Macaca fascicularis: one gene and its partners. The protein of the gene in region 1 interacts with the protein of each later gene in a pairwise test. Links are inferred from orthologs where the notes say so. Each region holds a gene or a part of one and is shown in the gene's direction. Other genes may lie near its edges. The genes, in order: PGBD1, NR4A1, MEOX2 and SCAND1.

Region 1 (8,116 bases):
AAATAGAGGACACAAGCACACACTGGAACAATTTTGGTGGCCACATAAAAACCAAACCAAATCGAGACAAACTGAGAAACAAAAAATGAAGCGGACTCCTGAAGTGGGAATCCCATGAATCAGGTGTGGCAACTTCAGCCCTCAGCCTCTGCAATCCATATATATCCTGGTCTTGGGAGTCCATAGAATACTGTTTCCTTCTAATAAAGGTTTCAAACAAATCCCTGATTAAGACATGCTAATCATTAAAAGTCTTCGTGGAAGGTAATTTTCCATATAAGCTGTGCAATATTCTATGGTATATGTCTCCAGTGTTAATCATTTACGTCATTTACACTTTGATCACCATAAACAATTTTTCAGTGAACATTCTTGGAAATACAACTTTGCCTACTTACAGAATTTTTTTCTTTGTTCAGTTGCCATAATGAGAATCAATGAGGCAGAAAGTAGGCATGTTTTCTAAGGCTTTTGATGTATTTGCCAGAATGCCCTCCAGAAAAGTTATACTAATTTGGATACCTTGTTAGCAGCCTGTGATAATGCCCAATTTTCTATACCCAAATAAACTCTGGGAATTATTCTTTTGAATATTTGACAACTGATACATACAAAATGGATTGCTTTTTTTAATAGACTACTTTTTAGAGCAGTTTTAAGTTCTCAGCAAAATTGAGAGAAAGATACAAAAATTTCTCATATACCCACTGCTCCCATTCAGGTATACCCTCCCCTATTATCAACATCCTGTCCCAGGGTGACATTTGTTACAATTGATGAACCTACATTGACATATTATCACCCAAAGACCACAGTTTACATTAGGGTTCACTCTTGGTATTGTACATTTTATGGGTCTGGACAAATACATAATAATGTGTCCACCATTGTAGTTTCATTGCCCTAAAAATCCTCTCTGTCTTACCTATTATGCATCCCTCCCTTTCTCCAGTCCCTAGCAACCACTGACCTTTCTACAGTCTTTATAGTGTTGCCTTTTCCAGGATGTCATGTATACAGGTGGAGTACCCCAATCTGAAAATCCAAAACACATTACAATGTGAAACTTTTCAGCACCAATATGATGCCACAAGTGCAAAATTTCACACCTGACCTCATGTGACAGGTCATAGACAAAATGCAGTCAAAACTGTTTCGGCCAGGCACAGCGGCTCAAGCCCGTAATTCCAGCACTTTGGGAGGCCAAGGCTCCTCACCTGAGGTCAGGTGTTTGAGACTAGCCTGGCCAACATGGCTAAACCCCATCTTTGCTAAAAATATAAAAATTAGCCGGGTGTGGTGGCACGCACCCGTAGTCCCAGCTGCTCGGGAGGCTGAGGCACGAGAATTGCTTGAACCCCGGAGGCGGAGATTGCGGTGAGTCAAAATTGTGCCTCTGCACTCCAGTCTGGGCAACAGAGCAAGACTCAATCTCAAAAAAAAGACTTTGTTTCATGTACAGAATTATTTAAACTGTATAAAATTAGCTCTATGTGAGTAAGGTATATATGAAACAAATGAATTTCATGTTTAGACTTGGGCCTCATCCCTAAGATATTTCATAATGTATGTATATATTCCAAAATCTGAAATTGGAAACACTTCTGGCCCCAAGCATTTCAGATAAGGGATACTCAACTTGTTGTTGAAATCGTACAATATGTAGCTTTTCAGATTGGATTCTTTCACTTTCTAGTATGCACTAAAATTTTCTCCATGTCTTTTCATGCCTCGATAGCTCATTTTTTTCATTTTTTTCTTGTTTTCTTTTTCTTTTTTCTTGTTTTCTTATAAACAGATGTTTATAGCAGCTTTATTCATAATTGCCAAAACTCAGTGGGTAAATGAATAAATAATGGGTCTGTTTTTAAAAGAGTGTTTTATATTTTTACTATTGAACATCTTTTCACATGTTAATTTGTCACTTACCTTGTTTTGTGTATAGTAACATTCATATCCTTTACTGATTTTTCTACTAAAGTCTCCTTTTACTCTTAAACAGAAGTGCCCTTAAAAATCAAATAGGGAACTTGCATATCAACATTTTAAATGCATATGTCCTTTGGCTGATCAGTTCTAATATGTGGCATTTATCCTAGAAATACATTCTTAAAAGAATGTAAAGGTATTGAATGATGTTCCCTCTAGCATGGCTTTTAAAGAAAAAATATAACCTAAGTATGCATCAATAGGATAGTTAAGTAAATTATGGAACACCCATACAATATTACTTAGCTGTTAAAGAATAAGCTGATCTGTGAAGATCTCCAAGCTGTCTTAACCGAAAAGAGCTAAGGTGCAAAATTACATTATGATACCATAAGTGTTTTTAAATGTATAAATGCTTATTCACTAAACAAAATGTTTATTACATGCTACTGTGTGACAGGTAGTGTCCTAGATAAATATGCACAAAATACAATGGTTAACTCTAAAGAGTGGGACATTTTTCGTTTTATGGTCCTTCTGCAACTTGACTTTTTTATTGTACGTATATTATGTATACTTAAAATAATTTGTACAGCTTACTATAATGGTCTTTTAATTGATCTGTTTCGCCTCCTAACCAGTGATGACCCCGAAGACAGACATTTACCACTCTGTTGGTTTTTTATTGAAATGATGTACATAAATGTGGGGCGTGCTTGCACCGTCCGGATGGGCCTGAGGTCCGGCAGCGGAGAGCGACCTGGGCGGGGCGGGAGGTGGCAGTGGGGGTCCTCCCGGATCACCAGAGAGACGAGCGGCCGTGCTCCTAGAGAGGCAAGGAACCCGCCAGACTCCGCCACTCGGCTGCGGGCGCGGCGAGTGGAGAAGCTTTTGTGCTGGCCCAGCTGCCGGAGGCGCCGGCGACACCCATCAGCCCCGCCAGCCCGCCAGTAGCACGGCTTGGGCTCTGGGGAAACCGGCGCTCTCGACTGGGCAGCCCCGGGCCTCTGCGCTCCCTCGGGAGCCTTTCACGAGGTCGGCTACGTCTTTGTTGTGCGCGTTCCTGAACTTTTGGTCCATTAACCAACAATTAGACACGCAGGTATTCAGTGCCTGGCGCGGTGCTAGATGCTGGGTGTAATCTCAGAAAAATACATTCTGGGGTGCGCCTGAGGGTGCTGGCTGCTGGCATCTCAGGTGCTTTACGTGCATTCGTGAAGAAGTCCATCAGTATTTGTTGAATACCAGGTACGTGCCGGGCTTGTAGAGTCTATGCAGAGATAAACTCCTGTCCTCAAGAACCCGGGTGGGGATGGGCTGGGTGATCTGTAATACGAGATGGAGGAGATGAAGGTTGGGAGCAGTTTTCCATGGGAACACCCATCTCTATCTGTGTGGCTTACTTTTCCTGTCTATATGTTAGGGTTAGGGGTGGCCAGGGAAGGTTTCACATAGAACATTTGCGCTGGCCCTTGGGATTTTACCCTTAGAAGGGGGGTCCTGACTGTATAGAGTGGGTGGAAAAAAAATTGAGTACTTAGCATGGCAGTGAGATAAGGAATTTGGGAAGACCATGGCTTTCTTGAAAGTAGGAACTAAGTCTTTTATTCCAGAGTTAGCTTTATGCCTGGAAAACAATGAGATGCTCCACAAATGTTTATTGAGTGACAAACAAATCAGCAAAATCCAGTAAAGATTAGATCCTGGAGAGTTTGAGTTTACTTCAACGAGTTTAATGAAAACTTTGTATGTGTTTATGTGTGTGTAAGGTATGTTGAATATGGTCAGAATTGTGCTTTAGGGAATATTAATCCAGTGACCATAGAAGCGGGGAATTGGGCAGGAATACCATAACATTATTGTGACAGTGAATGAAAATGATAGTAAAATAATAAGGAAAGAATGGCTGCAAGAGGCATTTTTAAGAATTGACTTGATTCACTGATTGTATATAGAGGCTGTTTAAAAGACTGAATGCATGGAAGATGATGGTGATGCCAGTAGAAATGGAGAAATACGGAGTGAATGCAGCTTTGAGGAACTCTGATCTTAGTTTGAGATCTGTTGAAATTATAGTGCAGGAGAAGCCCACAGCTGCTGGCATTTCAAGATGTGGGTTTGGAGTGCAAAAAGCAAGCTGGAGCCAAAGATTTGAGTCTTCTTGGGAACAGAGATATATTGAAAGTGTGACTAAGGAGATCACAAAGGAAAAAATGAAGAGAGGGAAGAAAAGAACTTGATGCATTTCTACTGTTTCAGTTATGTGTTGTTGCATCAAAAATCAAACTCTAAACTTAGTGGCTGAAAACAAGCTCAGCTTATTGTTCCTCAGGATTCTGCAGGTTGACTGGGTAGTTCTACTGGTCTCACCTGGAGTTACTAATAGAGCTGCATTCCGCTGGTGAATTATTTGAGCACTAGGCCCGGCTGGGTTTTAGCTTGGTCATTTTGGTTCTCATCCACATGACCTCTGTCTAGCTAGCTTGGGCCTCTCACAGCATGGCAGTCTTATGGCAGTGAACCAAGAGCTACAGCAGCACTCTCTCTCTTACAATGTCATTTCTGCCGTATTCCATTGGTCAAAGCAAGTCATAGGCCAGAACAGATTCAAGGGAAGGAAAAATAGACTCCACCCCTTGATGAGAACAGTGGCAAAATCTCATCACAAAAGGTATTTGAGGATGGGAGACTTTGGAAGCAGTCTATTACACCTACATTTAAAGCGGAATATTCAGTGAGAGTTACACAGATATAGATGACCTTTGAGACTGTATTATTTGCCCATGAAGGCAGCCATCTGCCTCCTCAATGGGTAAAATGATCCCTTCTCCCCAGCTAAAGTGCAAGCTTCTTGAGCATTCTTATTGCTAACGCTTCTTCCCTCATATCCTACATCCCTTACCTCTGGACTCAGACCCTTTAGTACTAGTTCAAAACATACTTCTGATTCATTTCACTGAGAAATAGAAGGAAGCAGGCTCAGCTTTTGAGCACTACCTACAGTGGGTACAAAAATATAAGTAGATTACATACAGTTTTGAAGGTCTTAGAATTTGTGTGTTGCTGATCAATTCTTATGCCTCAGATCTCTATTTCTGAACACAGACCCCCAAGCTAAGTGAAGCTTTAGCCTCTAAACTCAACATGTATGAAGCTTTGCCAGGCCCTGCTCCTGAAAATGAAGATGGCCTTGTGAAAGTGAAGGAGGAAGATCCCACCTGGGAGCAGGTGTGCAACTCACAGGAGAGCAGCTCCTACACTCAGGAGATTTACCGCCTGCGCTTTCGGCAGTTCTGCTACCAGGAGGCTCATGGACCCCGGGAAGCTCTGGCCCAACTCCGAGAACTTTGTCATCAATGGCTGAGACCCGAGATGCACACCAAGGAACAGATAATGGAACTGCTGGTGCTGGAGCAGTTCCTGACCATCCTGCCCAAGGAGCTCCAGCCCTGTGTGAAGACATATCTTCTGGAGAGTGGAGAGGAGGCAGTGACCGTGCTGGAGAATCTGGAGACAGGAAGTGGAGACACAGGACAACAGGTGGGAAGAAAATGTGTGTGGTGGTGCGGGAGAAGAACAGGGGGACATGTATCAGTTGATGTTTAGCTTTTTATTTTGAAATAACTTCTAATTTATAGAAGTATTAGAAGAATAAAGAACTCCTGTAAACTTCATCCAGATTTGCCAGTTAACATCTGTTTCATGAAGTCCCATTGTTGTGTACACACTTGTGCAAGGAAGTGCATCTCCCCCAATATGCATATGTACATGTATACACGCACATACATACATACACACATACAGTATTTTTTTTTTCCTCAAACCATTTGAGAGTTAGTTGCAAACACTATATCCCTTTACCTCACTGTTGCCCAGGCTGGAGTGCAGTGGTACAATCATAGCCTCATTGCGGTCTTGAACTGCAATGGTGGAAGGCTCAAGCAATCCTCCCGCCTCAGGCTCCTGAGTAGATGAGGCTACAGGTGTATGCCACCATGCCTGGCTAATTTATCTTTAATTTTTTGTAGAGGGGGTAGGGTCTTGCTGTATTGCCCAGGCTGATCTTGAACGCCTGGCCTCAAGTTATCATGCTGCCTTGGCCTCCCAAAGTGTTGAGATTACAGGCGTGAGCCACTGCACCCGGCCATTCAGTGTGGATTTCTGAAGAGTGAAGACATTCTGTTGTATAACCAGAATACAAAAATCAGGTTTAGGGAAATTAAAATTATGATACTGTCATATAACCTTAGTCTTTATTCATATTTTGCCATGTTATCCTAATAATGTTCTTTATGATAATTTTCCTCTGATTCAGGATACGAGCCAGCATCACATATTGCAGTTAGTTGCCATATCTCTAGTCTTTGTGAATCTGGAGTAGCTGCTGTCTTTCTTTGTCATGACATTGTTATTTTTGAATAGTACAGCTAGTTTTTTTGGAGAATATCCCTCAATTTGAGTTTGTCCTATAATTTCTCGTGGTCAGATTCAGGCTGCACATTTTGACTAGAATACCACAGAGGTAATGTTGTGTTCTCAGTGCATCACTTCAGGAGGTGCGTAGTGATGATTTGTCCCATTACTGATGAGGTTACAGTGGTACCTGTCAAATTTCTCCACTAGAAAGTTACCATTTCCCCCTATGTAATTACTAAGTAATCTGTGGGAGACATTTTGAGTTGGTGTACATATCTTGTTCCTCATTAAACTTTGACCAGCTAGTTTAAACATCCACTTGTTTGTTGTTTTTGTTTTTCTGGGCTGGAGTCCTTTGCCTATCTTTTCTGCTTTGTTTGCTGCTGTATCTTCAGCATATAGAACAGTGCCTGGCTCTTAGCATGCAGTCCATATATGCATGCCTTTTCAAAATAAATCTTTTGTTTCCAGGCCTCTGTCTATATTCAGGGACAGGACATGTGCCCAGTGGTGACAGAATATCAAGGAGTCTCTTTGGAATGTCCGAGCCTCCAGCTCCTGCCTGGGGTAACCACTCTGAAGTGTGAACCTCCACCGCTTCCTCAAGAGAACCCCCAAGAAGTGAGTGGTGAGTGCTAGAGTGAGTTTAGTGAGGACAATGGGAACTGGCCACTGACACTTGCACAGCCTTCTTGTCCTCAAGTTTGTATACATTGTGAAATGATTACCACAAGCTAACTTACGTATCTCACAGTTACCTTTTATGTGTCTGTGGTAAGAATTCCTAAGATCTACTCTCATGAAATTTCAAATATACAATACATTATTATTAACTATAGTGGCCATTCTGTACATAGGTCTTCAGAGCTTATTCATCTTATAACTGCAAGTTTGTACCCTTTGACCAACATCAAGTTTTATTTTTTTGTCTAACCCTGTATCTGGACAAACTTTTAAAGACCTGCTTTATTTTACACTGTGCTTTTTAAGCTGGTTTATTTAGTATGTATGTGTTGTGGACAAGTACATATAATAGTAAAAGTGAATTGGGGCAAGGCTGTTTTTTTTCCAGCAAACTTTATTCCTTCTAGAAATGAAACAACTGCAATAAAAAGATTCCATAGTGGTCCATTACGGAAGCAAAGAAAAGCAGAGCAAAGAAAAGTGATGTTCTGTTTTATATTTTGGGTTAGAATTACCACATGTGCTCTTCATTTGATAATTTTGTACTCTGCCATCTGCCAACTGCCAACTGTGTGACCTAGGCAAGTCATTTAATAGGCCATTCAATTAGTCAACAATTATCTGTTTGATCTCTGTGTGTACTCTGCACTCAGCTGTGATTCTTCTGAGTGTGCCTAGGATTTTGGCAGCAATAATTTGGACCTTCTTGATCATTTTGAGGATTGGAAATAATCTTTTAAAGTAACAGCACAGTGGCTGGCATTGTGCAGTCATCATCGCCGTTTTGATTATTGTTGGTTCTTTGGGATCAGTACCTCCTAACAGTTTTTCTAGTTCATGGCTAACATCTCTTCTCTACTTTTTTTTAATATCTTTATTTTTCTGTCTCTTTATCTTCCTTTCTTCTGCTTTCCTGTTTCCCCTCTGTCTCATCTCTCTACTCTCCACATCCTTTCTTTTGCCTCTGTGTTCTCTCCTTGATCCTTCCTTTATCACCAGCTTCTTCCTCCCCTTTATTTTTATCTATGATTTTTATTTTTTCTTTATGTAAAAGTGAATGACTATAAAACACCTTATGAGTTCATAA
Region 2 (8,071 bases), on another chromosome or scaffold:
GCGTCGATTAGGGGAAATCTCGCATTAATTCTAGCTCTGCCATTTCCGGTCTGGAGACCTCTGCCACCTTCTTTTGGGGCCCTGACGCCTTCCATGGCAACTAAGTAGAGCAAATGTGGCAGTGCTTCGAAAACACAAAGTGGGGTCTCCTCGTCCTTATGCAGTCTGGAGAGTGTAACCCCATCTGGGCGGTGTCTGGACAGCCCTTGAACCCTGAGACAGCCCCAGGAAAACACGTTTCTGTGTCTATTTTTTTGGCCCTTGAATTGCTCTTAAGCATGGGGAGAGGTCGGAGGACCCCGGCCAGGTAGTTCTTGATCCTCAAGAAGAGGAAGGAAACCATGAAGGGAATCCCTTCCATAGCCCCTCTCCTTATTCAGGGCTAGGACCTGAGCAGGGGAGCCCCTTCTTGGTCTAAATGCCCTAGGGACATCCTTTTACCCCCGCCTCAGAGGGCCAGGGTGGAGGTAGAGTGGAAGGGTGTCTCCTAGGTGGGGTGGGATTTCAGATGCTGTGAGATGGAAGGGCACCTGGGGAGGGCCACTGAGAGTCTGGCTGATGGTCCTGCGTCCTGTGACTCACCTTGGCCCACTGCTTCCCACCCTCAGGATCTCAGCCGTGCCCTGCTGCATACCTAAGCTTTGGGGGCAGCCTCTGTCCTCCATGGAGTGCCTTTTCCCTATACCCTGCCTGGTCCTGTCTCTTCTTTCACACTGGGCCCTACATTCTCTTCCTCCAGGGAGGCCTCTGAGATTAGTCCTCTAGATTCCACTCCAATGCCAGCTCAAGGCTTCTTGGAGGCCACTTCTTGGATGTCCTGGCAATGTTTCCATACCTATTCTTGTGTCCTGCCACCCCATCAGACTAGGAGTCAGCTTTCTGCGTAGGAGCTTGTCCTCTAGGAACCTCCCACAATGTGGGGCGTCACTGGCCGTGGGGCCTGTCTCCCCTCTGCTCCAACTCCCTGGGCCATGCACGTTGTTCACCTTTTCTCTCCTCACCTTTCCTATCTGCAATAGGGGCTGTGAAGCAGTGCCTGTAGAAAAAAGAGGAATCAGATATGAAGGAACAAGAGGCTGGGTAGAAAGAGCACTGGCCTGGGAGTCAGAAGACCTGGGCTATGGAGACAGAAGACCAGGGCTATGGTTCTGGCTGGGCCACTCCTTAGCCAAGTGACCTGGATCAGGGAGACAACAATGGGGCTGATGTTTACTGGACACTTGTAATGACTAAGAGGTGACATTGCTCCTATCTGTGCAACCCCCAAGACCCCCAGTATTCCCAATAAACATACCAGCTGAGCAAAGCTAGGGTAAGCACCTTGGATGTACAGCTTTAAGACAAGGTCCCAAGTCCTCCAAGTCCTCCTGTATGGAAATGGTAGATCTGCCACGATGTGCCAGACTCCATGCTTTATGTCTGCTATCAAAGAGACACTCTCATGGCAACCCTGTGAGATAGGTTTCTTATCTTTGTGTTTGAGGTGAGAAAACTGAAGCCCAGAGAGGGCAAGTAACTTCCCTGAAGCCACACAGCTGCTAAGAGATAGAGCCTCTTGTGGGAAATCACATTCCTAGGGCAGAGCAGGGAGGAGAACTAACTCTGAGTGCCTGCTGTGTACGAGGCACCTCCACAGCTGTTCAGTTCTCTGACAACCAGTGTCCATCCCAGACCTCTAGAGACTGCTTCTTCCACCATCTCACGCCGCCTCCACATGCCACCCTAAGTGTGCGTGTTCTGGCATTCCACATTTTAGAATATGTTTTATTTGATTATAAATAGGAGAATATATAATAAAGACAAGTTATGCTGAAAGTATTTATGGAAAGGAGAGACCTCTGTGGGCTGGAAGCCTTCATGGAAAAACTGGTAACTGAGCCCTTTTTTTCCCTTCCTGTCTAAATAAATGTATTTCTCCCACACAGGCAAATATTTTAAAATGTATTTCAAAAGTTAGACTTCTGGAAAAAGAAAGGAAAAGAGGGGGTGGGGTAGCTGCTCCTCTAAGAAGCCCATCGGAAAGGAGCTGCTGGGGTAGGAAAGAGGAGGACACAGGGTGAGTGAGGAAAAGCCTGTCCCTTTCCCCCACCCTGACACCTTGCCATTTTTGAAGCCTCAGTTTCTTTATCTGTAAATTGACCTAATACTTGAACCTGGGAGAGAAATGTACAGGTTCTTGGGAGGTGATTTTGAGACAAACCAGAGGTTCTTGGGATCATTATGAAGAATGAGAGAAAGGGAATTCCGAGTTTCACCAAGAGTTTAGGATTGGTCCAGCAAAGGATTTCTGGGGGTGGGCAGCGGGGTGGAGAGAGGAATGCAGCCCCTGGAATGAGGGCTGAGTGGAGGTGTGGGGCCTCTTTTGGAGAATTTTGAGCACAGAAGAGATTCTTTGCTGCGTGGGGCCTGGCCTGGGTGCTGGAGATTGTATAGCATGCTCATAATTTAAGGTGGCTCCAAAAGGGAGCAGTGACTAGTGGCTGGCACAGCAGAGCACATGACTGCATCCTCCCTAATGGGTGTTCCCCAGTGACCTTGCCTGTATGGAGGTATAGGAACAGAGATGGTAACCCCAAACCCCACCCACCCAGCCAGCCCCAACACCATTGCTCCAACCTTGAGCTGGCCTTCCTGACCAGCCTTTCCTGAGTGGGCAGCTGATGGGGGAGAAGGATTTGCTCAGGACAGGATGATTCTCCCATTTCCAAAGAAGGCTCCAGTCACATGGGAGAGAGAAACCTTCCAAGTGCCTGCACCCCCAGGAAGATTCTTACCGTGGAAGCCTGGGCCTGGAGACTCCGGTCAGAGGAGGGTGGGCCTTCCAGGGCTTCCTGGCCACGGTGGTGGGTCTCTGAATGCATTAAACACTCCTGTGGATTGGGGAGAGCAGGGAGAACTAACCCTCAGGGTCTACTGTGTACAAGGCACCTCCACAGCTGTTATCATCCTGACAGCCAGATAGGGTGGATAATCTGATCATATCATCTTTGTTTTAGAGATGATGAAGCTGAGGCTCAGAGAGGTCAAGTGATTGCCCTAGGTCACACAGCGGTATGGGAGCAGCCAGGTCAGTGAATCCATCATCTGGGCTTTGCCGGGGCCTGCACCACCACCTCGGGCAGTGCCCTCTTCAGGAGGAAGTCCTATTTTTCTGTAAGCTGCCTTCTCGTGTGGAAGCTGGGTACTCTACTACCTGGGTTCGTTGCCCTTGGGATGGCATGAATGCCAAGCGATGCAGGCAGGGCGCCCGCAGACTCAAAAGGCCAGGCCCTGCCTTCGCCAGTAGCCGAATCGCTGTGTGACTTTCGGCCGCCACCGAGTCTCTCTGGGCCTCTCTCTTTCCACCTCTTCCTGGGGAAGCCCCGGGTAAGTTTATTTATAACCTAGCCCCAGGTGCGCCGCCTCGGGAGGTGTGAGCGAGGCCTCGGCACCCTCACCTGAGAACCAGCTCCCCGGCTCTGGCCGCTGGTTATGTAACCGGGTGTGCGGAGTAGGGGGAGCCGCGGGGCGGGGCGCTCGCGGCTATTCCGGGCGCAGCTATTTTTAGCCCCATTGATGAGGCTGCGTCGGCCGCCGCCGCCGGGATTCCGGAGACGTCAATGGGCACGCGTCACGGTCCCCGCCCCGCCCGCCGGGGGAGGCGCGCCGGGGCTGGGACAGCGCGCGGGCGGCCGCGGGCGCGGGGGAGGGGGGCGCGGCGAGGCCGGAACTGCGGGCGGGGGGCTTCCTGGGGGCGGGGGGCGCCGAGCGGCGGCGGCGCGGCTGCAAGAGCGCGAGGCGGCGGCGGCGGCGGAACTGGCGGGGTCCCAGCGCGGCGCCCGCGACCCCCGGCCTCCAGGCATGGGCGCCCCTGCGGCGCAGAGCAGCTCAGGGCCTGCTGGTGCGCGACCCCGGAAAGCAGGAGTGGAGAGGCTAGAGGAGCCCGCGGGGCCAGGTGAGGGGCTGCCGGTGTGGCGGGAGGTGGGCCCCAGAAAGGCTGGGCAATCTCGGGTCTTTAGTGGATGCCTTGGGGCGGGCTCAGGGCCACGCCGGAGTCCCGCTTGGAAACTGGGGAGTCGGGGGAGGGACTGGATTCCCAGCGGAACTTGCTGGCTCAGAGTCAGTCCCCAAGGGCGACGGCCAAGGCTTTCTCTCCCCAGCCCGCCAAGGGTGGGGTTTGGCCCACGAGGGGCGCTGGAGGTGGCCAGGCCAGAGAAATTCCTTCCATTTCCCCGCCGGCTGCGGGAACCGGTTCCAGGAGCGCGGGAGCTTCCAGGAGTCTACCAGGAGACCCAGCCGGGAGGGACGGATGCTGCGCGATGCAACCCCTTCACGGGACTGAGTCAAGAAACCAAAGCTAGGGGTCTCGTGGAATCAGGCGGAGCTGGGGATTAGGACTTGGGGCTTGTGTCTCCCAGGCGTGTTTTTTTGGTGGTTGTTTTGTTTTTTTGCCGCAACATCTTCCCTCCTTGTATTGGGAGGGGTGGGGGCGCGGTATTTCCAGACCTCCTTACCATGGTGGTCTGTGTTGAGGACAGGACACAGTTCCCTGACTTGGCTCATTCCCCTCCACAACCTACCTCCCCCCTTTTTTTTTTTGAAATGAAGTCTCGCTCTGTTGCCCAGGCTGGAGTGCAGTGGCGTGATCTCGGCTCACTGCAACCTCCATCTCCCGGGTTCAAGTGAGTCTCCTGCCTCAGCCTCCCCAGTAGCTGGGACTACAGGCGCCCGCCACCACGCCTGGCTAATTTTTGTATTTTTAGTAGAGACAGGGTTTCACCATATTGGCTAGACTGGTCTCGAACTGCTGACCTTGTGATCCGCCCGCCTCGGCCTCCCAAAGTGCTGAGATTACAGGCGTGAGCCACCGCGCCTGGCAGGCTCATATCGTTTTTATGCCTTCGTTTTTGATAGATGACCTGGTGGATAGGGGAAACGCTACAGAGGTGGTTTACAGTGAATTGTTAATTTGGATGTGGGGCTAGTATTAGCGGCACATTGGGAAAACGCAGGCTGAGCAGAGGTCGGTTTCACAACAGTTATGCCCAGTGGGTGCTGATGGATTTGGGGGCTGTTGTCAGCCTGGCCTGGAGCCCTAGTGGTGGGGCTACAAGACTTGCTCCTAGACCTACTCCAAGTGAACGTTTAAGATCGGTGACTTGGATGAAGACTTAAAAAGGAAGTCAGCCGACTCCTTGTAGTCATGCAGAGCTGTGAGGAATGACAAGTGCACAGTATAAAATCAAGATTCTAATTGAAGGCAACTGGGCAGAAGGATGGGCTGAGATTAACAATGTGAATGTGACTGACGAGGCCTGTGCTGAGGCCTCTGCTGGACTTAAGAAAGTCAGCTGAGGAGTTCAGGCCCTGTGCCTGGCTCAAAGGCCCAGGAACCCAGGCCCTTAGCTTCTGAGCTGTTCCCTGGACGGAGGCTGTGGGACTGCTCTGTGCAGTGTGAAGCCTCCATCCACTACACAGGTCCAAGTGGGCGGTAGGGGGAGCAAGAATGCCTGATTCTGGACTCCTTGGTTAGGCTCCCTGGGTTCTAATCTCAGTTTTGCCAATTCCTAGCTGTGTGACCTTCGGCAAGTTGCTTAACATTTCTTTCTGGGCCTTAGTTTCCTCATTGGTAAAATGTTTATAATAATAATCCCTTCTTCATAGCATTGTGAGGCTGAAATGAGAAAATGCATGTAAAGTGCTTAATGTATCTGGCACATGTTGTTTAACAAATATTAGCGGCTGTTGTTATTGCTAATAGTAATAATATTCCCATTTCTGGGTAGGGATATTGGCCAATGTAGAACTTGTACTCAGGAGGCCACCAGGGCCTGTCAGGCAGAGGGCCTGTCAGTGGTGTCCTGTTGCAAGGAGCAGTTTAGTTAAGAAAAGACTAAAATACTTGCTAGGAAGGACTAGAATGAGGCTTCCTGTGGGCCAGTGCAGGGGACAGAGCAGGGATCCAGGGACTTTTAGAGTCAGGGATGTGATTCAACATAAGGAAGAACGCTCTGGCTCTTGGATCTGCCCCCAAATGGAAGGGACAGCTCTTGAGCTGGAATGCTGTCCCCACCTAGCTGACCTTCCTCCCAGCACAGCTCCAATGCAGGCATGTGCACCCCCCACCTTTCCACGCACACTTACTGAGCACCTGCCAGTGCTGAGCAGAGTTTAGAGACTGCAGATTCTGCAGTGATTCTGATGGACAGCATCCTTACATTCTGGTTGGGTAGACAGGTAATAAACCAGTGAACAGATGTGAACATTAGACCTCTGATGAATAAAAATCAGGCTAGTGTGGTGGGGTGGGGGTACAAGCTGTTCAGGGAGGTGACATGGGAATGGAAACCTGGTTGATCAGGAAGAGCCAGTTCTGGGCAGAGGGAACGGTGGATGCAGAGGCCCTGAGTGGGGAGAGAAGGCCCATGTGACGGGACCACAGCGAGTGGCTGGGAAATGAGGTTGGTGGGGAGCAGGAACTGGGGACTGAAATCTGGCCTGATGGTCCACCCCATTTTGGGGGTCACTTTCTCCGCCAAGCCCACTCAGCCTTTGGTTTGCCCTCTGCCCAGTGCAGATTGTCCTTGACCTTGGTTCATCCCTTATCAGATCCTGGGGCTCTGGGATCTTGGTGTGCTCATTCTTGGCTCTCCTGTGGTTCGGGGCACGCTGCCTAGCTTCCAGGGGGTCCTCAGTAAATGCTTGTGGTGTGACTATTGAGGGGGGCATTTTGATCTGGAGCAGGCAGGGAAACAGATACCTGCTTGAAGATGCTAAAATCATTTGTGGGCACCACCAGGTGCCAGACTCTGGCCCCTGTTCTGAGAACCAGATGGGGAAGAGCTGGGTGCTCAGGTTGGGCCTGATTATGGTAGGTGGTATTTGGCCCTCCCTACCCTTCCTTCTCAGCAGTGGGCTGGTAGGGAGAAAAGACAAGGCTGGGGGAAATTATAGACCAGTTTCCAGGGGATGGGAGGATGACACTGTCATCCTGGAAAGCAGGTGTAGTCCATGGGCTGGGGCAGATTGGAAGCCTCGTCTTGCTTTCTGTTTAGGGTTAAAGATGCTCCAGATGTTCCAGTCTGCCCTCCCTTCCCTCCTCTCCTGTGGCCTTTTCCTGCTCCCCATCATACCCACAGGATCGGGAGGGAGGGGTGCTGGTAATGTCGTAAGGGGAGAGCCTGGGTACTGTGGGCCAGAGGTCCTCCCCTTGGCCTGTAGACCTTGGGCAGAGGTCAGGAGGACGAGGAAGCCCATTGCCCACCCTCTGGGGTCCTCCTCCTCTTTGTCCCTCCTAGCTCCCATCATCTCCTTCTCTTTTCCCAGACCTCATCGGTCTTAAGGGCAGTCCAATAGCCAGTGAAGGCCTGGTCCTGCCCTCACTCTGGAGCGTAGTCGAGAGGAGAGAGCACTGGAGTGGGTGGAGGAAGAGAAGGAGAGATGTGGGTCAAGGTACCCTAGCTGAACGGGGTTAGGGGAGAGCTGAAGAGGCTGGGGTGTGGGGTGAGGCACATAGTTGGCTTCCACCCTGGAAGGAGAGGCCAGGTGCCCAGGGTGCCTTGGACTAGGAACCAGGGTCTGTGGCTAGCTTTTATGTGTGTGTCCTCATTGAACTTCTCCTAATAATGACATGTAGCAGATATGTGTATCTAGCACTGTCCTAAGTCTTTTACACATTAACTTTTTTTAGCCGGGCGCAGTGGCTCACGCCTGTAATCCCAGCACTTTGGGAGGCCGAGGTGGGCAGATCACGAGGTCAGGAGATTGAGACCATCCTGGCTAATACGGTGAAACCCCATCTCTACTAAAAATACAAAAAATTAGCCGGGCGAGGTGGCGGGCGCCTGTAGTCCCAGCTACTCGGAGGCTGAGGCAGGAGAATGGTGTGAACCCGGGAGGCGGAGCTTGCAGTGAGCCAAGATGGTGCCACCGCACTCCAGCCTGGGCGACAAAGCGAGACTCCGTCTCAAAAAAAAAAAAAAAAAACTGTTTTAAAAGCCTGCTGATAACCCTGTGATTGTTAATTTTAGAGATGTCATCATTTTTACAGATGAGGAGCATGAGGTACAAAGAGATTATGTAATTTGCCCAA
Region 3 (8,137 bases), on another chromosome or scaffold:
GATTATAGTATACCGGAATTGAACTGAAGAAAACCACTAATTCCTGAAAGAAATAAATGTAAATGCAGGAAGACCTAGAAACTAGAAAAACAAAGTACATTGGATTGTTTTACAGTTTAGAAGTAAGGTTTTAAGTGTTCATTTATTTTGGTACATGTAAAATGAATGCAACAAGTTTTATTGTGAACGTACCAATTAATGTTATGTAAAAATAATAACATTTAAAAAATGTGTAAAAGTATATGGAATCACTAAATAACATGCATTAACCATAGCAAAATTGTTCCATAAATTTTATAATGCATAGTTCCGGGGGAAAATCAATTCCTTAGTTTTATAAAATAAAGTACATCATAAATCACATAAATTACCATTGGGTATTTAGCGTATTTGGATACATTTTCAAAATTCTTTATTTTAGAAGAAGGAACTGAAGGACGTAGCTGCTACTTTTTGGCAAAATATAACAGAAATAATATTTCTATACTCAATAAAGTTTTCAGAAACAAGTTACAATATTAATTTAATTATCCATCCTTAAGTTCTTATATTACGACTATGTGTTACCAAGGAAAATTTACCTATTAGGTAAAATTCAAAGTAAAATTTCCCATTTAATTTTAAATATTTGAAGTACCATGATAACTCATGTCACACGTGTGCAGAAGAATGGCAACTTTTAAAAGAATCGTCATGAATCTTAAAGTAAAATGTAAATACAATTTTGTTGTGTTGCTTAATATGAGTTCTATTCCGCTTAAAAAAAAAATAGTCCTAATAAAAAAAAAAATCTCTACCTTTACTCTTGAATGTCATTATATTTAAGCCAAAGAAGCAATAGATATACACACTCATCAAGTTTAAAGAACCTAGCCTACATTTAAAATCATTATAGTTGTGGAGCCTACAAGAGCTAGGTAGCTTACCTTTTCACATAATCAACCTCTTTATAATGTGTTACTGGATATTGAAACCTTCCATGAAATATTGGCATTAATATAACTTTTCTTCAGGAAAACTCAAGTATATTGCAAATATTAGATAAATACTATGTCATATATAGTTTTAAATGATTGTTTATATAAATTTTATGATAAACTTTATAATTTTTACCATTCTTGATATCATTAAATAAAGAGGCATCTTCTCAATATTGGATTTTATGGATGTGACACTGAAGTAGCTGTTATAGGAAAGCTAAGGATTTTTTTTTCCTGTTTTTACTACATTTTAAAAATTTCTCTAAAACCTAGAACATAAAATTCAATATTCTATCTTATTCCAAATATTTGAATAAATTAATATTTAAAAATCTTTATGTAATGATTAATACATATTTAGAAATCCAGAGAAAATTAAAGTCCTATTTAATTCTGGAATTTACCAAGACCTCCTTTTTAGTCCTTCATTTTTTTCCTTTCAAATATTTTCCTTATGTTGTGTTTTCTATAAGAAAACTGGACTTCATAATTTTTGTTGATATTAAATGTTTTGCGTCTCCAATTAAAAAGACCTATCTTACTACCTTTGCTTTCATTGCATGCCTTTGCAATGACTTCCTCCTTTTCTAACCTTTCCTAAATTTTTCTTCTAGAAAAAGTTCTAGAGGCTGACTGACTGGGGCAGGTTGTAGAGAAACTTCTGGACAGATTGTTAACATCTGACACAATGAGTGAGAAAAAATCCAGCACAGTCACTGGGCAGGTTTAAGAAGAAGTGGCAGCTCTGGGAGATGAAAGATTTGTGTGTTCTTGTTGCTAGTTACCTGCAACACTCTGGTTAAATTCAAATCCATTCATTTGGTAATTGCTTAGCTTCCTCTAAACCAATGTAATGCAAACCAAAAGGACCATTGTGGATGTTTTGGACTGATGTCTGCAGATCATGTGTAATTTTAGTCTGTCTTGTCTGACATTTTCCACAATGCTTTAGTTGACAGCATTGTATTATGTAAATATTTCTGGTTAGGCTTATTGAGGTGGTTGCCTAAATCTCACTTTAAATAAAGCGTTTAATGCTTTCACCTAGAATCCATAGAGAAGCTACACAAGTTGGGGAAGTTTAGTGTTGCTCTTTGTACTTAAACTTTTAATATCAGAGCACATATTGAAACCATAAACACAATGAAAATACAAAAAATATTCCGACGATATTAGAGGACTATAACTCCCCCACCTCTTTTTATTCTTAAAGAGCCAAGGGCGTGGGGAGTGGCAGGAAGAAATATTCTTAAGATCTAAGTCCTGGACGCCATCCTGCTAGTGCTTAAAGCCCCTAGAAACGTGCAACCTGAACAACACCCCCTTTCGAAGTCTAAAACAATATTAGATTCCCAAAGTATCGGCAAAGAAATTCTTACCGTCAAAGACTTGCAGCAGGTTTCAGCTCAGACCCAGACTGAAAAGCTGAGCAGCTGGTGAACAAAAGTTTTAGTTTTTTTTTTTTTTTTTAAACGAAGTCTGCAAAACTAATTTCCCTCAAAATAGAGCTCAATTTCCGTTAAAGAAAGCAGCGCTTACAAATCTCAGAATTCCTGATCAACCCCCACTCCACCCCACCTCTAAGCAATAGAAAACAATTCGATCTTTCACACGGATGTTTTTGAGAAGCCACTATTCTACAGCATGACTTACAAGAAAAGAAGATAGTGAGGCTTAAGCAGGGGGACTGGAAGAGGAGGGGGAAGGTTCTGCTTTGGGGACACCTCTCAAAGATTAATCAATACTTTTTCCTAATTCAAACCAGATGTCTAGCCCAGTTTGCTGTACCCATTAATCCCACTAACAACTTCAAAGACCTGCTCATCATCCTCTGGACACCTGAGACAATGAAAATAACGGGGCGACACTGCTGGTGGTGCATTTGGGGCCCCGGGCGGAATAGGTGACTACAGATATTCTCCTGATGCGACAGGTCCCAGATGGGACTTGACTGTTTCTCCTGCTCATTACAGAGCCACTCACTTGTGTGTAAACGACTCTGCCCCCAGCGGACCCTGTCACCCGCCAAACAAGTGGCAGTCTCAAAGCCCTGCCATCGTTCTTGCATGCTTACTGGAGGCAAATTTTCTAATTTATTTTCACGGATGCAAAGTTATAGCCAAGTGCCCAAGCTTAGTGAATTTTGGGAGCTATCGAAATGTAAGATTTCTCAGTAAATGGGACGGTGGTGATAAGGGATGCGATTAGCGGATTTATTTTTGAGGGGAAGAGAGTGGATTTCTGTAGGAAACTGCGGAGACCTAGGCTAGCTCCTGAGGGGAAAGGCTAGATATGTGCGTGCAATCTACACATCTCATGTGACCGGGACAAAATCGCCTGGAAATATTTTTGACCCAGGAAAATTTCTTCTTGGTGGACAAGTGGCTAGGAAATTGAGCGGGACCAGGAAAGAGGGGGAAGGGAGACTCCACCTGGCATCGCACAAGAGGATGCCAGGGAACAGGCATCTGCAACCCTTTCAGACTCACGCCTTCCTCCCACCCACCCTACCGGGTCCCTCTTGGTTCCGCACTGAGAACTGCCTTTTCCAGGCCATGGTACTCATCCCCACAACCTCAGATCTGGCGTCCCAGCCCATTAACAATCCACCCACAGAAACCAGCTGTGAAAACCTAGGCGCGCTGCGGCGCCCAGGGCACTGGAAGATGCGAAGTTTGAAAAACTTCGAGGATGCGCCTAACTAGCTCTGATCTTTTCGTTTAACCCTATTACTTCTTTTGGGTTCCTGAAAGGCTAGGCATATCCCTAGCTTTTCTGCAGGTGACAGTTCACAAATGACACTGACAAATCACGATTCCCGGAGAGGAAAGTGAGTAGGTAGGAATCAGGGTGCTGGGTTGGGGGTGGTGTGCGCCGCGCCCAGGCCTCCAGAGTCTGGAGGGCAGAGCTGCTGCCCTCCCGGGCGGGACTTAGGCACTGGCGTGCCGCTTGTAGCCCTGGCAGCCGGCAGTGCTGGGCGGGCGTGGACGCTCTGCGTCTGTCCAGCAGGCGATAGGAAGTGGAACTGGGGAGCGCGTGGCGCAAACTGAGCGGGAGTTTTGGAGGGAGTTTGCATGTGGTCAACTCTGGGCTCCTAAGCCGGCCCCCAGCTCACGTTACACTCTATTTATAACCTCTCAGAGCCATTTCCCCCTGAAAGCAGTTCTCTGGGACCACCTTCTTTTGGCTTCAACCTCTCCCACTCTTGACATCTGAGTAGTTCAGGGAAGCTCTTCCAGGTCCGACTGTTCATATGCAAAGGAGACTGGTCGCTGGGGCTCAGAACCGGGATTATCCGAGCTCTGCAGAAGTGCACGGCTATTGCTTTGGGAGGGTAAAAAAAAATCATACGGTTTCCAGTGAAAAGTGACAGAGGGTGGTGACCTTTGGAACCGTCCTGAAGTCTTCTGCCTGGAACCTGAAACTTGCATGCTATGGAACACCCGCTCTTTGGCTGCCTGCGCAGCCCTCACGCCACGGCGCAAGGCTTGCACCCGTTCTCCCAATCTTCTCTCGCCCTCCATGGAAGATCTGACCATATGTCTTACCCCGAGCTCTCTACTTCTTCCTCATCTTGCATAATCGCGGGATACCCCAACGAAGAAGGCATGTTTGCCAGCCAGCATCACAGGGGGCACCACCACCACCACCACCACCACCATCACCATCATCAGCAGCAGCAGCACCAGGCTCTGCAAACCAACTGGCACCTCCCGCAGATGTCTTCCCCACCGAGTGCGGCTCGACACAGCCTCTGCCTCCAGCCCGACTCCGGAGGGCCCCCAGAGTTGGGGAGCAGCCCTCCGGTCCTGTGTTCCAACTCTTCCAGCTTGGGCTCCAGCACCCCGACTGGGGCCGCGTGCGCGCCGGGGGACTACGGCCGCCAGGCACTGTCACCTGCGGAGGCGGAGAAGCGAAGCGGTGGCAAGAGGAAAAGCGACAGCTCAGGTAAGGGCGCACCAGGCACCCTCGAGAGTGCGCGCCGGCCTGGAAAGGGGGCGGAGAGATGCCAGGGGAGATTCTCGCACTACAGGGTGGCAGCGGGGAATATGGGAATGTGTTGCCCTTTGTGGCTTCCCGCGGCCAAATTCGGCGGTGAAGCTTTGGTCCTGATATTTGGGGGACACGTGTTTATCCGAGAGCAATGCATATACAGCCAGCAGCTCTAAGCTCTCCAAGGTCCTAAACTAGTTTACCAGAAGGTTGATAAAAAAGGACAAGTGGCTGTGAAATCGATTGCGAAGCGTGACCTTCCATCCCAGCGCTGGGGAGGGAGGGGCGTGCGCCCAGAGATGCAGCGTCGGTTGGGCAGGCGTGCGTGCGGGTGCCGCTTCTTGACTTTTCTCTTGCAAGTTCCCGACTGTGAGTGGCTCGATTTTTCCCATCGTTAACTGGATTTCCAAATCATTGCACAATATTTGGAACTTGCAGTGGAACTTGGCAGAGCGCATGAGAAAAAAAAAAGTTTTAGTTTTTTTTTTTTTTTTTCTAACATTCTTATTTCAGCGTTCTTTAAATAGCACCCTATTTCAAATGGTAAAATTTTCCCTTTATTGGGGAAAAAGACATTATCTAGGAATTCAGATTTTAAGGAATGTGTCAGAGAATTGTAAATAAATAGATGCTCACATTGGAAGAAAGACGAACCTTAATAGTACATGTTCATGTGGTGTAAGCTAATTACAGAATCAACGTTTCAAAAGTGGAAAACAAATCCCTCTACCAAGTGGGTATTAGTAGAGACAAATACAGCGAAGCAACAGTAGCTCGGGTAGTGTTAGTTAGCTACGTGCCTGAAGGTGGTATGTAAGGGTGCGCGCAGGAGGCGCTGATTTTAGTGGGGGATAATTTGAGCAGCCACGGAAAAGGGAAACCTTTCTGACCTCTGGTACTTGAAGACACACTTGCCGAGTAACTTTTCTGTAGCAATCCAGAGAAACTCAAAGTTTTCCAGACCACTTTTCAAAGCTCTTACCTACCTGTATTATCATAAAATTGTTAAAAGATACTTTAAAATTAAGAGACTTGTGAGTTTTCTTTCGTGGCTATAGTGCAACCTGGATTGCATATTTTTGGAAGATATCATTTGTTTAATATAACATTTGCATATTTTTCTTCCTCTGCGGAATTGGGTTAATAATAGTCCTAGAAGGTAATCCCATATGTTGGTTTGAAGTATTGGACAAATGTTTATCGTGTATAAAGCTTTAGGTAAGATGCCACCTAAATGAAAATGATTGACCGCATATTTAATATTCCTTCACCCTTCACAGCAATATCAATTGTTATTCAGCAATCCTATGGGATGGATTCTTCTGTCATGGTCTCAAAAGCTAACTTTTATTTTCCAAGGTCAGGGGGTGAACTTTTAATGTTCTGTCACAAATTAGTTTTTATAAGAAAATTACCAGTAGTGTCACTGATATTTAATGTACTTTCCTAACTATAAGTGAAAGTCTCTTTAGATAGTGAGTTGAATGGTTAATCATAGCAAGAAGGTTTCAATTTGTATTAGAAAAACAGTCAATTTTAGAATGCAGTGACAATTTCATAAACCGAACATTTGATATCAGTGTCACTTTGGAAGCAGATCCCAGTTCAGGTTGATGAGAGTACTCTTGCAATTCCCGTAAGCTCTTACTGTTCATTTTATTTTTTGCAATGAGTAACCTACATGACAGATTGTCCTTTATGCTTCCTGAACTGAGCCATTGCTCTTAAGTTTCTTAGGGCAAACTGAATTTTCATACAAGCACATGTTATTTTGTTTGGGGGAAACCAAGAAAGTGGAATTCAGTAACTGATTCCCTTAATTTATTTTAATAATTTTTTTAAAGTGGAATAATTTAACAAAACGTGTTTATCTCTCCTCCTAACTTAGTGGGAAATAACCATTTAACAAAATTAAGTTCATTTCTACATGTTGAAGCTGATAATGAGGGTACTGGAAAAACAAGCCAATATAAGTGTTTGTGTCAGCTGCATAAATTATTAACAGATTAAAACTTGAGTGGAAAGTACAATTAGTCATCACCAAGGATAAAAATACTGGGGACTTAGGACGAGCTTTTCTTTCCTTTGATATTTTGAAGAAATATTGACTAAAAGGAAGTATCCCAATAATTTCTGTTTAAATCTATGTACACTTATTGAAAATAAAATTTTATTTTCCAATTTCAGCTTGAGGTATATTTGTCAGATATTCAGATAGATTTAAATTAAAGATATCTTTCTCGTGTAACAATTGCATTAGGTTTTCCATAAGTTATCTTCAAAGATATTTTATTTCATAGACATCTTGATCCAGCACAAACTAAAGCAACATTGAAAATGATTATGATCCTGGTATGCTATTAATACGTATATCTCTCATTGTTTATAGCACATTTTAGTATTTCACTATTTGTAAAAAACAAAATTGAAGTGCTTTCAGAACTCCTGAAATTTAAAATTGTGTTAGATAAAAATCTCATCCTATATAGTGAGACCATCTGTATTTTGGTAGGTAGTTTATAATTACTTTTCATTTATGGTTGAGAGAAGATTTAGTACATAAATCCAGGGTAAAGTCAGAACCAAAATTCTGTATCCCTGCATCTAATACCTAGATTGTATGTGTTTGCGCTAATTACCATGTTAAATTCTAATAGAATTTTAAGCACCAGAAAATATTGAAAAACAGCTTAAATATTTATAAACCTTACTATTTAATTTATAGTAATGATTTAAAACTATAATATGTAAGCTTCTATAGTATATATTTTATGCATTTTCCCTCCACAAATGCACATGGACACACACATATATAAACTCTAGCAGCTTCATGTTTTGGAAGCAAATATTTATGGACTTTAGGCTTCCTTTACATAAGTTTATTGACAATTGAAAATAACCAAATTTAATAGAAAAGCACGCCGTTATATTTTATATGTGTTAAACATTTTTGTAACTTTGAACCTGCTGCGCTTTCCAGCATTATTAGCAAAGCCAACATCTGCCACGTCTTCAAAGGGACTCTTAAAAATCAAAACTTTACAACTGTGCTGAAAAAAATCACTACAAAGCAGGTGATTCTGAAAAATGTCTATAAATAGTGTGAATTGCTTGGTTTCAATTACATTTGATTGCTCTTTGAGCAATCTAGTAGTAGGAATAAA
Region 4 (6,551 bases), on another chromosome or scaffold:
TTCTGTCCTCATGGAATCACTTACTAGCTTTCTTATTTTGGACCAATCCATCTTCTGGCATCTTGGCCTCTCAATCTGCAAAATTCAAAAGAATGAAATATAAATGTATATTTTTAACTTAATCTGGGACCCCTGGGAGGGTTCAAGGATATATGTAACTCACATGAAAGTAGATAACTGTATCCCTTTTTGAAGAAGAAGCATTACATTTTTTTTTTTTTTAGACTCTGGGAATCTGAATGTTTTAACTTTTATCATGGACATTTTCAAGCATATACAAAAGTAGAGTGTACATATTGCCAATCTTTCAAGTGATCCGCCCACCTCAGCCTTCCAAAGTGCTGAGATTACAGGCATGAGCCACCAAGCCTGGCTAATTTTTTGTATTTTTAGTAGAGACGGGGTTTCATCATGTTGCCCAGGCTGGTCTTGAACTCCTGAGCTCAGGTGATCCGCCTGCCTAGGCCTCCCAAAGTGCTGGGATTGCAGCCATGAGCCACTGCACCTGGCCAACTACTGAGCCAATCTTGTTTCATTTATTCCCTCCACATTATTTATTATTTACTGCTGAATCACTTTAAAGCAGGCTTACCGGCCCATAAAGGGCTGGATTTTAAAATTCAATTTCTAAGGCCCCTTCCAGTCTAACATTCAATGATTCTAATAGATCTCTCAGGTCCCTCCTTCTCTAATAATTCACGATTTTAATAGGGATGGAAGAAATAAACTAAAGATCTAACATAACATTTCATAATATTCCAGGTGCCACAAAAGTTCATTCCCTTTCATGAGAAGAACTAAATTTTAAACATGGAATTCTAGGACATTTATGATTTAACCTCCAGCAGTGTTCCAACCTCTCTCACCCCTTCTCCAGATCGCAACCACCTTCCCATGTAGCCTGCAGTTTCTACAGTTTTGCTCCTACTCACTATGTACCTTTGTACAGGCAGTACCTTCTACCTGGAATGTCCCTGAGCCCCACCCATTTTCTTCTTGCGTCTCAGCTTGAAGTCCCCTCCCCAGTGAAGACTTCTAGCACCTCTTGCCTCCACAGAAGGGTTTAGTGTGCTCCTTTAGCCCTGGAAGCTGAGTGCCTGTTGCCACACAGGGAATAGCACTGTTGGTCACTCTATGCAGCAAACCCAACTACCAAGGGGCCAGACAGAAGTCCAGGTTTGAAGCCAGTAGGCATAACAAACACTAGGGCCCTGCTTTCTCACCTCTGAATAGAATAGAGAAAAATATCAGCTCTAAATAAAGCAACAACCTGAGAGCAACAGTAAATGCAAACAACATTCTATTTCAGAGAACCATAGGGAATGGTGGAGATTGAGACCAAATGGGACAGAGTATCTTGTCTAAAGGAAGTCGTCTCTACTCAGTGTCAGTTGATTGTTGACTGGCAGGAATTTGGGTCCAGTGTGGCCAGCTCTTCCATTTTTTTCAGGAAAAACCAGAAATCCAGATTTGCATGTGAAATCTCCCAATTTTCACATGTCAGCAACTAAAAAGCATTAAAGGCCCATTGCAATGACTTTCAAGGTTTTCAGGCTATGGTAATGATTTCATGAGGGTCCACTTCTACCCATCCAAAGGAAACATCCTATGGTAGGGACAAGTTTTATATCAGGGCTAACGGCGTGTTAATGGTTGTTAAACATGCTCCTCCATCCTGCACAGAGCTCAAAAGGACTACAAGTGTCATACAAAACCTTTCATATGAGGCCCCTGTCCTTTCAGGGCCTCAGTTTCCCCTTCTGTAAAATGAGGATACAAACCCTATTTGTGGCCAGGCGCGGTGGCTCACGCCTGTAATCCCAGCACTTTGGGAGGCTGAGGCGGGTGAATCACCTGAGGTCAAGAGTTCGAGACCAGCCTGGCCAACATGGTGAACCCCCATCTCTACCAAAAATACAAAATATTAGCCGGGTGTGGTGGTGGGCGCCTGTAATCCCAGCTACTCAGGAGGCTGAGGCAGGAGAATCACTTGAACCCGGTAGGTGGAGGACTCAGTCTCAAAAAAAAAGAAAAAAGCAACAACAACTATTTGTGAGTCAGCTATCAGACAGAAAACCACCTGGCCGAGGGCTGTCAGGGCCACATGCTTTTTACCTGCATCATCTCACTGAATTCTCAATGACCTCTGAGAGGTAAGTTCTATTACATCCACATTTTACTGTTAAGAAAACGGTAGCTCAGAGATAGCAAGCAGTTTACCTAATAAAAACAAAAGCAAACTTCTTAAAAGCCCTTTCTCTCCAAGGGCTTAACTTATTTAATCCTCCCAGCAACTCTGAGGTGGGTACCATCAAAGGGGATTCCACCAAGGCAAAAGGCAGCCTCACTCCAATCCTCTAACCCAAGGCTGCTCAACAGAAATATAAAGTAAACCGCACATGCAATTTAAATGTTTTTTAGTAGCTGCAGTTAAAAAGTAAAAACACAGGTGAAATTAATAACATTTTATTTGACCCAGTATATGCAAAACATATTACAACATGTAATCAGTATTAAAAAGTATTGAGATATTTTACATTAGTTTTCTCGTATTAAGTCCCGTATTTTACAATATAGCACATCTCAATTCGCTATATTTCGAGGGTTATCAACTAGCTCCGTTGCAAGAGCTCAGTCAACTCAGGCGGCCAGCGGCCACCATAAAGGGCAATGCATTTACAATTCACTTATTAAATCCTGAAGTTAACAGAACCTACAGAGCCTCCCTTCCCTTGGTTTCGGAGGACACGCGAAAAATAACAATAGCAAAGAGTTCTCGAGCATTTCCTTCGCGCCAGACGGTGTGTTGTAGTTTGTCATCCTCGCAGTAAGGCGGGTGCTATCGCCCTCCTAGTTTGACCAAGCGAGAGGACTTTCTCCAGCCGGGCCCTTCCCGAGAGAACGACCGCCGTCCCGCTCCCCTGTTCGGGTCACAGGCCGGGCGCCACCCGGACAAGCCCCGGCCAGCTGTCACCCTAATCATTCCTGAAGGAGGGGCCGTCACAGTTACAGCCCATCAGGGTCAATCAGGAGGGGCGCCCGCACGGAAAGGTCACCTGCAAACCGAAGCGGCTCAAGAATAAGTTCCAGGACTTAAAAGTTCACCTCGAAACATTCAGGCTCCTCCTCCGACTCCTCCTCGAACTTGCGCTCAGAGGCGCCACCATTCGGAAGGAGCCCAAGCCACGCGCCGCTCGCCCTCCTGCACTCCGAGGGCAGCCGCCGCCTCATGCGACTCGAGAACGCTAGAGGGCGCCGCTTCCGAGAGCCCGCAAGCGGCTTCCGGGGGCTCTCGCGCCGACCTGGACGCAGAGAAGCCAGAGACTTTTCGTTTCCGGCTGCCGCAGCCGCTTCGCTGGTGCAGGTAAGCTCCGCGCACTCTCGGCCGGTCCCGAGTCCGCCTCCCTCAAGGGTGGCGCGAGCTCTGCCCTTTAACCGGAAACGTCTCCCTGCTCACCCCGCCCGCGCGCAGACGCAGTGCTGAGCCCACAGCTACCGGACAAAGAGTGACGCCCGGAGCTGGAGTTATGGCGGCAACGGAGCCGATCTTGGGGGCCACTGGGAGTCCCGCGGCGGTGCCACCGGAGAAACCGGAAGGAGCAGGTTCGAGCTCAGACCCTGAGCTTAACTCTGTGGGCTCCTCGCTGCCGAAGGCCTCACCGCCTGCCCCGGAGCCCTCCAGCCCCAACGCCGCGGTCCCCGAAGCCATCCCTACGCCCCGGGCTGCGGCCTCCGCGTCCCGGGAGTTGCCCCTTGGGCCAGCACCCGTGAGCATCGCGCCTCAGGTCGAAGCCGAAACGCGCTCCCCACCAGGCCCCGCCGGTTCTAGACTCGGCCCCGAGACGTTCCGCCAGCGTTTCCGGCAGTTCCGCTACCAGGACGCGGCGGGTCCCCGGGAGGCTTTCCGGCAGCTGCGGGAGCTGTCCCGCCAGTGGCTGCGGCCTGACATCCGCACCAAGGAGCAGATCGTGGAGATGCTGGTGCAAGAGCAGCTGCTCGCCATCCTGCCCGAGGCGGCTCGGGCCCGGCGGGTCCGTCGCCGCACGGATGTGCGCATCACTGGTTGAGCGGTGGAACTGCGGGCGGCCAGGGCCGGGCGCTCTGTGTAGACTGGGGCCATGATCGGGTCCGGAGACCTGAGCCTAGGAGCCCACTCCATGTTAATGAAAAATGAGTTTTGGCAGCGCCTGTGGTCTGGTGTGTCTCTTTCATTCGTTCTTTATTGGGTTTATTTTACCAAGCCTATTTACCACCGCCTTTCTGGCTGGTGCCGAAACGAAGTTGGGAGTCCCTAACAATAAGGCCTTCGTTGGCTATAGTGGGATCTTTCGATGTTGTCTGAAACTGGGTTATCCCCTCTACCACATATGGGAAGTTTTTCACCTGAGATCCCAAGGACCCACTTGGGTTTCTTACACGCAAAATAGCTGGCTTTATTAAATGCTTACTTGACTGGCTACCTCTATACCAATATGAGCACCAACTTGCACCTGCCCTTTGGGTACAGGCTTCCCAAAATGTCCAAGTTACTGAGCCATTTTAATGTGAAGTGTTTACTGCAAACCTTCACAGAGATAGGCTAGTTCCTGTGAGCTCTGGCTTATGCCACCAGACTTGCTCAACTTCCTTGCCAAATTTTAGGCCTGTGGTAGGAATTAAGCAGAACTAGTTGAAATAATGGATTATTTACATTACGGAAGCTACTCATTTTAATGCAGGCTCCCTTTTGGTTAAACTAGCATAACTGTTTACAAAGGGAAGAAAGAATTTGGCAAATAATGAGGACCTGTTCTGAAATCTTAAACCTACTGTTTGCAGAGGCTTCTGCCCAACCAGGAAGGAGCTAGTTGGGGTCCATGGACAGCTTGGATTGGTCCCAGATGGGTCCTATTGCAGTGAGTGCCATTTGTTAATATAAGGAAGGCCAGACTTGTCTTCCTTGCACTGCTCTCAACAATCAAAATCAGCCCGCAGTTTACACCAGAAAGCATGAGTGAGACTGGGCTGGGAAGTTGGTGAGGGGCATTTTGCTTTTGAATATTAAAGACAAATTGAGAAGTATCTTTGCATTCTTGGGATTTCTTGGCAGAGTTTGCACCTGCCTCCCTGGAAAAAGATAGTTGTTTAGAAGGTAAGAACAGGCTTCTTTAAAAGGTAATGTTTAAAGAAGATTAAGGATAGGTGAAGGACAAGTGCAGTGGCTCACGCCTGTAATCCCAGCACTGTGGAAGGCAGAGGCGGTGGATCACTTGAGGTCAGGAGTTCGAGACCAGCTTGACCAACAGTGAAACCCCCATCTCTACTAAAAATACAAAATTATCTGGGTGTAGTGGCACATGCCTGTAATCCCAGCACTTTGGGAGGCCGAGGCGGGCGGATCACTTGAGGTCAGGAGCTTGAGACCAGCCTGACAACATGGTGAAACCCCCATCTCTACTAAAAATACAAAATTAGCTGAGCATGGTGGTGCACGCCTATAATCCCAGCTACTTGGGAGGCTGGGGCAGAATCGCTTGAAACCGGGAGGCGGAGGTTGCAGTGAGCGGTGATTGTGCCATTGCACTCCAGCCTGGGCAACAAGAGTGAAACTCCATCTCAAAAAAAAAAAAAAAGGTGAAGAACTTTATACAGTCATGCGTCCCTTAATGGGGATACCTTCTGAAAGATGAGCCCTTAGGCAGTTTTACTGTGTGAGCCTCATAGAGTGCACTTATGTAAACTAGACGGTATAACTTATACACACCTAGGCATTGTGATAGAGCCTGCTGCTCCTAGGCTACAAGCCTGTACAGCATGTGACTGTACTGAATACTATAGGCAGTTGTAACAATGGTATTTGTGCATCTACATAGAAAAGTTTCAGTAAAAATATATAATAGGCTGGGCGTGGTGGCTCACACCTGTAATCCCAGCACTTTGGGAGACCGAGGTGAGCAGATCACAAGGTCAGGAGTTTGAGACCAGCGTGGCCATCATGGTGAAACCATGTCCCTACTAAAAATACAAGAATTAGCTTTGCATGGTTGTGGGCACCTGTAATTCTAGCTACTCGGGAGGCTGAGGCAGGAGAATTGTTTGAACCTGGGAGGCGAAGGTTGCAGTGAGCTGAGATCGCGCCATTGCACACCAGTCTAGGCAACAGGTGAGGCTCGGTCTCAAAAAAAAAAAAAAAAATATATATATATATATATATATATATGTATGTAGAGATTGCGGGTCTGGACGTTGTTCTGGCTGGGTGATGAGTGAATGTGAAGATCTAGGACGTTACTGTACGCTACTCCAGAATTTATATAAACACCGAACACATTGACTAAATTTTTTTTTTTTGAGACAGGATCTCACTTTGTTGCCCAGGCTGGAGTACAGAGGCACAATCTAGGTTCACTGTAACTTCTGGCTCCCAGGCCCAGGTGATCCTCCTGCCTCAGCCTCCCAAGTACCTAGGAATACAGGCACCTGCCACCATGCCCAGCTAATTTTTGTAGAGATGGGGTTTCACCATGTTGCCCAGGCTGGTCACTACTAAACTGATTTTTTTAAACTTTCTT

What was found.
Region 2: the proteins of PGBD1 (region 1) and NR4A1 interact in binary tests that used the Homo sapiens proteins (3 or more experiments, as listed by UniProt). The two-hybrid records come from large-scale screens. The link is inferred for Macaca fascicularis from reciprocal best matches to the Homo sapiens genes PGBD1 and NR4A1.
Region 3: the proteins of PGBD1 (region 1) and MEOX2 interact in binary tests that used the Homo sapiens proteins (3 or more experiments, as listed by UniProt). The two-hybrid records come from large-scale screens. The link is inferred for Macaca fascicularis from reciprocal best matches to the Homo sapiens genes PGBD1 and MEOX2.
Region 4: the proteins of PGBD1 (region 1) and SCAND1 interact in binary tests that used the Homo sapiens proteins (3 or more experiments, as listed by UniProt). The two-hybrid records come from large-scale screens. The link is inferred for Macaca fascicularis from reciprocal best matches to the Homo sapiens genes PGBD1 and SCAND1.

What each region holds. Positions count from the first base shown.
Region 1 is NC_088378.1:144,896,835-144,904,950, reverse strand, and holds the start of PGBD1 (piggyBac transposable element-derived protein 1), read left to right. Parts: upstream 1-2,757; 5' UTR 2,758-3,177; intron 3,178-5,014; exon of another isoform or gene 5,015-5,034; 5' UTR 5,035-5,073; coding exon 5,074-5,469; intron 5,470-6,816; coding exon 6,817-6,973; intron 6,974-8,116.
Region 2 is NC_088385.1:58,869,833-58,877,903, forward strand, and holds the start of NR4A1 (nuclear receptor subfamily 4immunitygroup A member 1), read left to right. Parts: upstream 1-3,633; 5' UTR 3,634-3,840; coding exon 3,841-3,934; intron 3,935-8,071. UniProt on the Homo sapiens protein: Orphan nuclear receptor. Binds the NGFI-B response element (NBRE) 5'-AAAGGTCA-3'. Binds 9-cis-retinoic acid outside of its ligand-binding (NR LBD) domain.
Region 3 is NC_088377.1:114,503,338-114,511,474, forward strand, and holds the start of MEOX2 (homeobox protein MOX-2), read left to right. Parts: upstream 1-4,135; 5' UTR 4,136-4,414; coding exon 4,415-4,928; exon of another isoform or gene 4,929-4,975; intron 4,976-8,137. UniProt on the Homo sapiens protein: Mesodermal transcription factor that plays a key role in somitogenesis and somitogenesis and limb muscle differentiation. Required during limb development for normal appendicular muscle formation and for the normal regulation of myogenic genes.
Region 4 is NC_088384.1:92,035,998-92,042,548, reverse strand, and holds SCAND1 (SCAN domain-containing protein 1), read left to right. Parts: upstream 1-3,308; 5' UTR 3,309-3,364; exon of another isoform or gene 3,365-3,426; intron 3,427-3,472; 5' UTR 3,473-3,527; coding exon 3,528-4,067; 3' UTR 4,068-4,188; downstream 4,189-6,551. Other genes in the region: CNBD2 (cyclic nucleotide-binding domain-containing protein 2), read right to left, coding at 25-75, 3,106-3,231. UniProt on the Homo sapiens protein: May regulate transcriptional activity.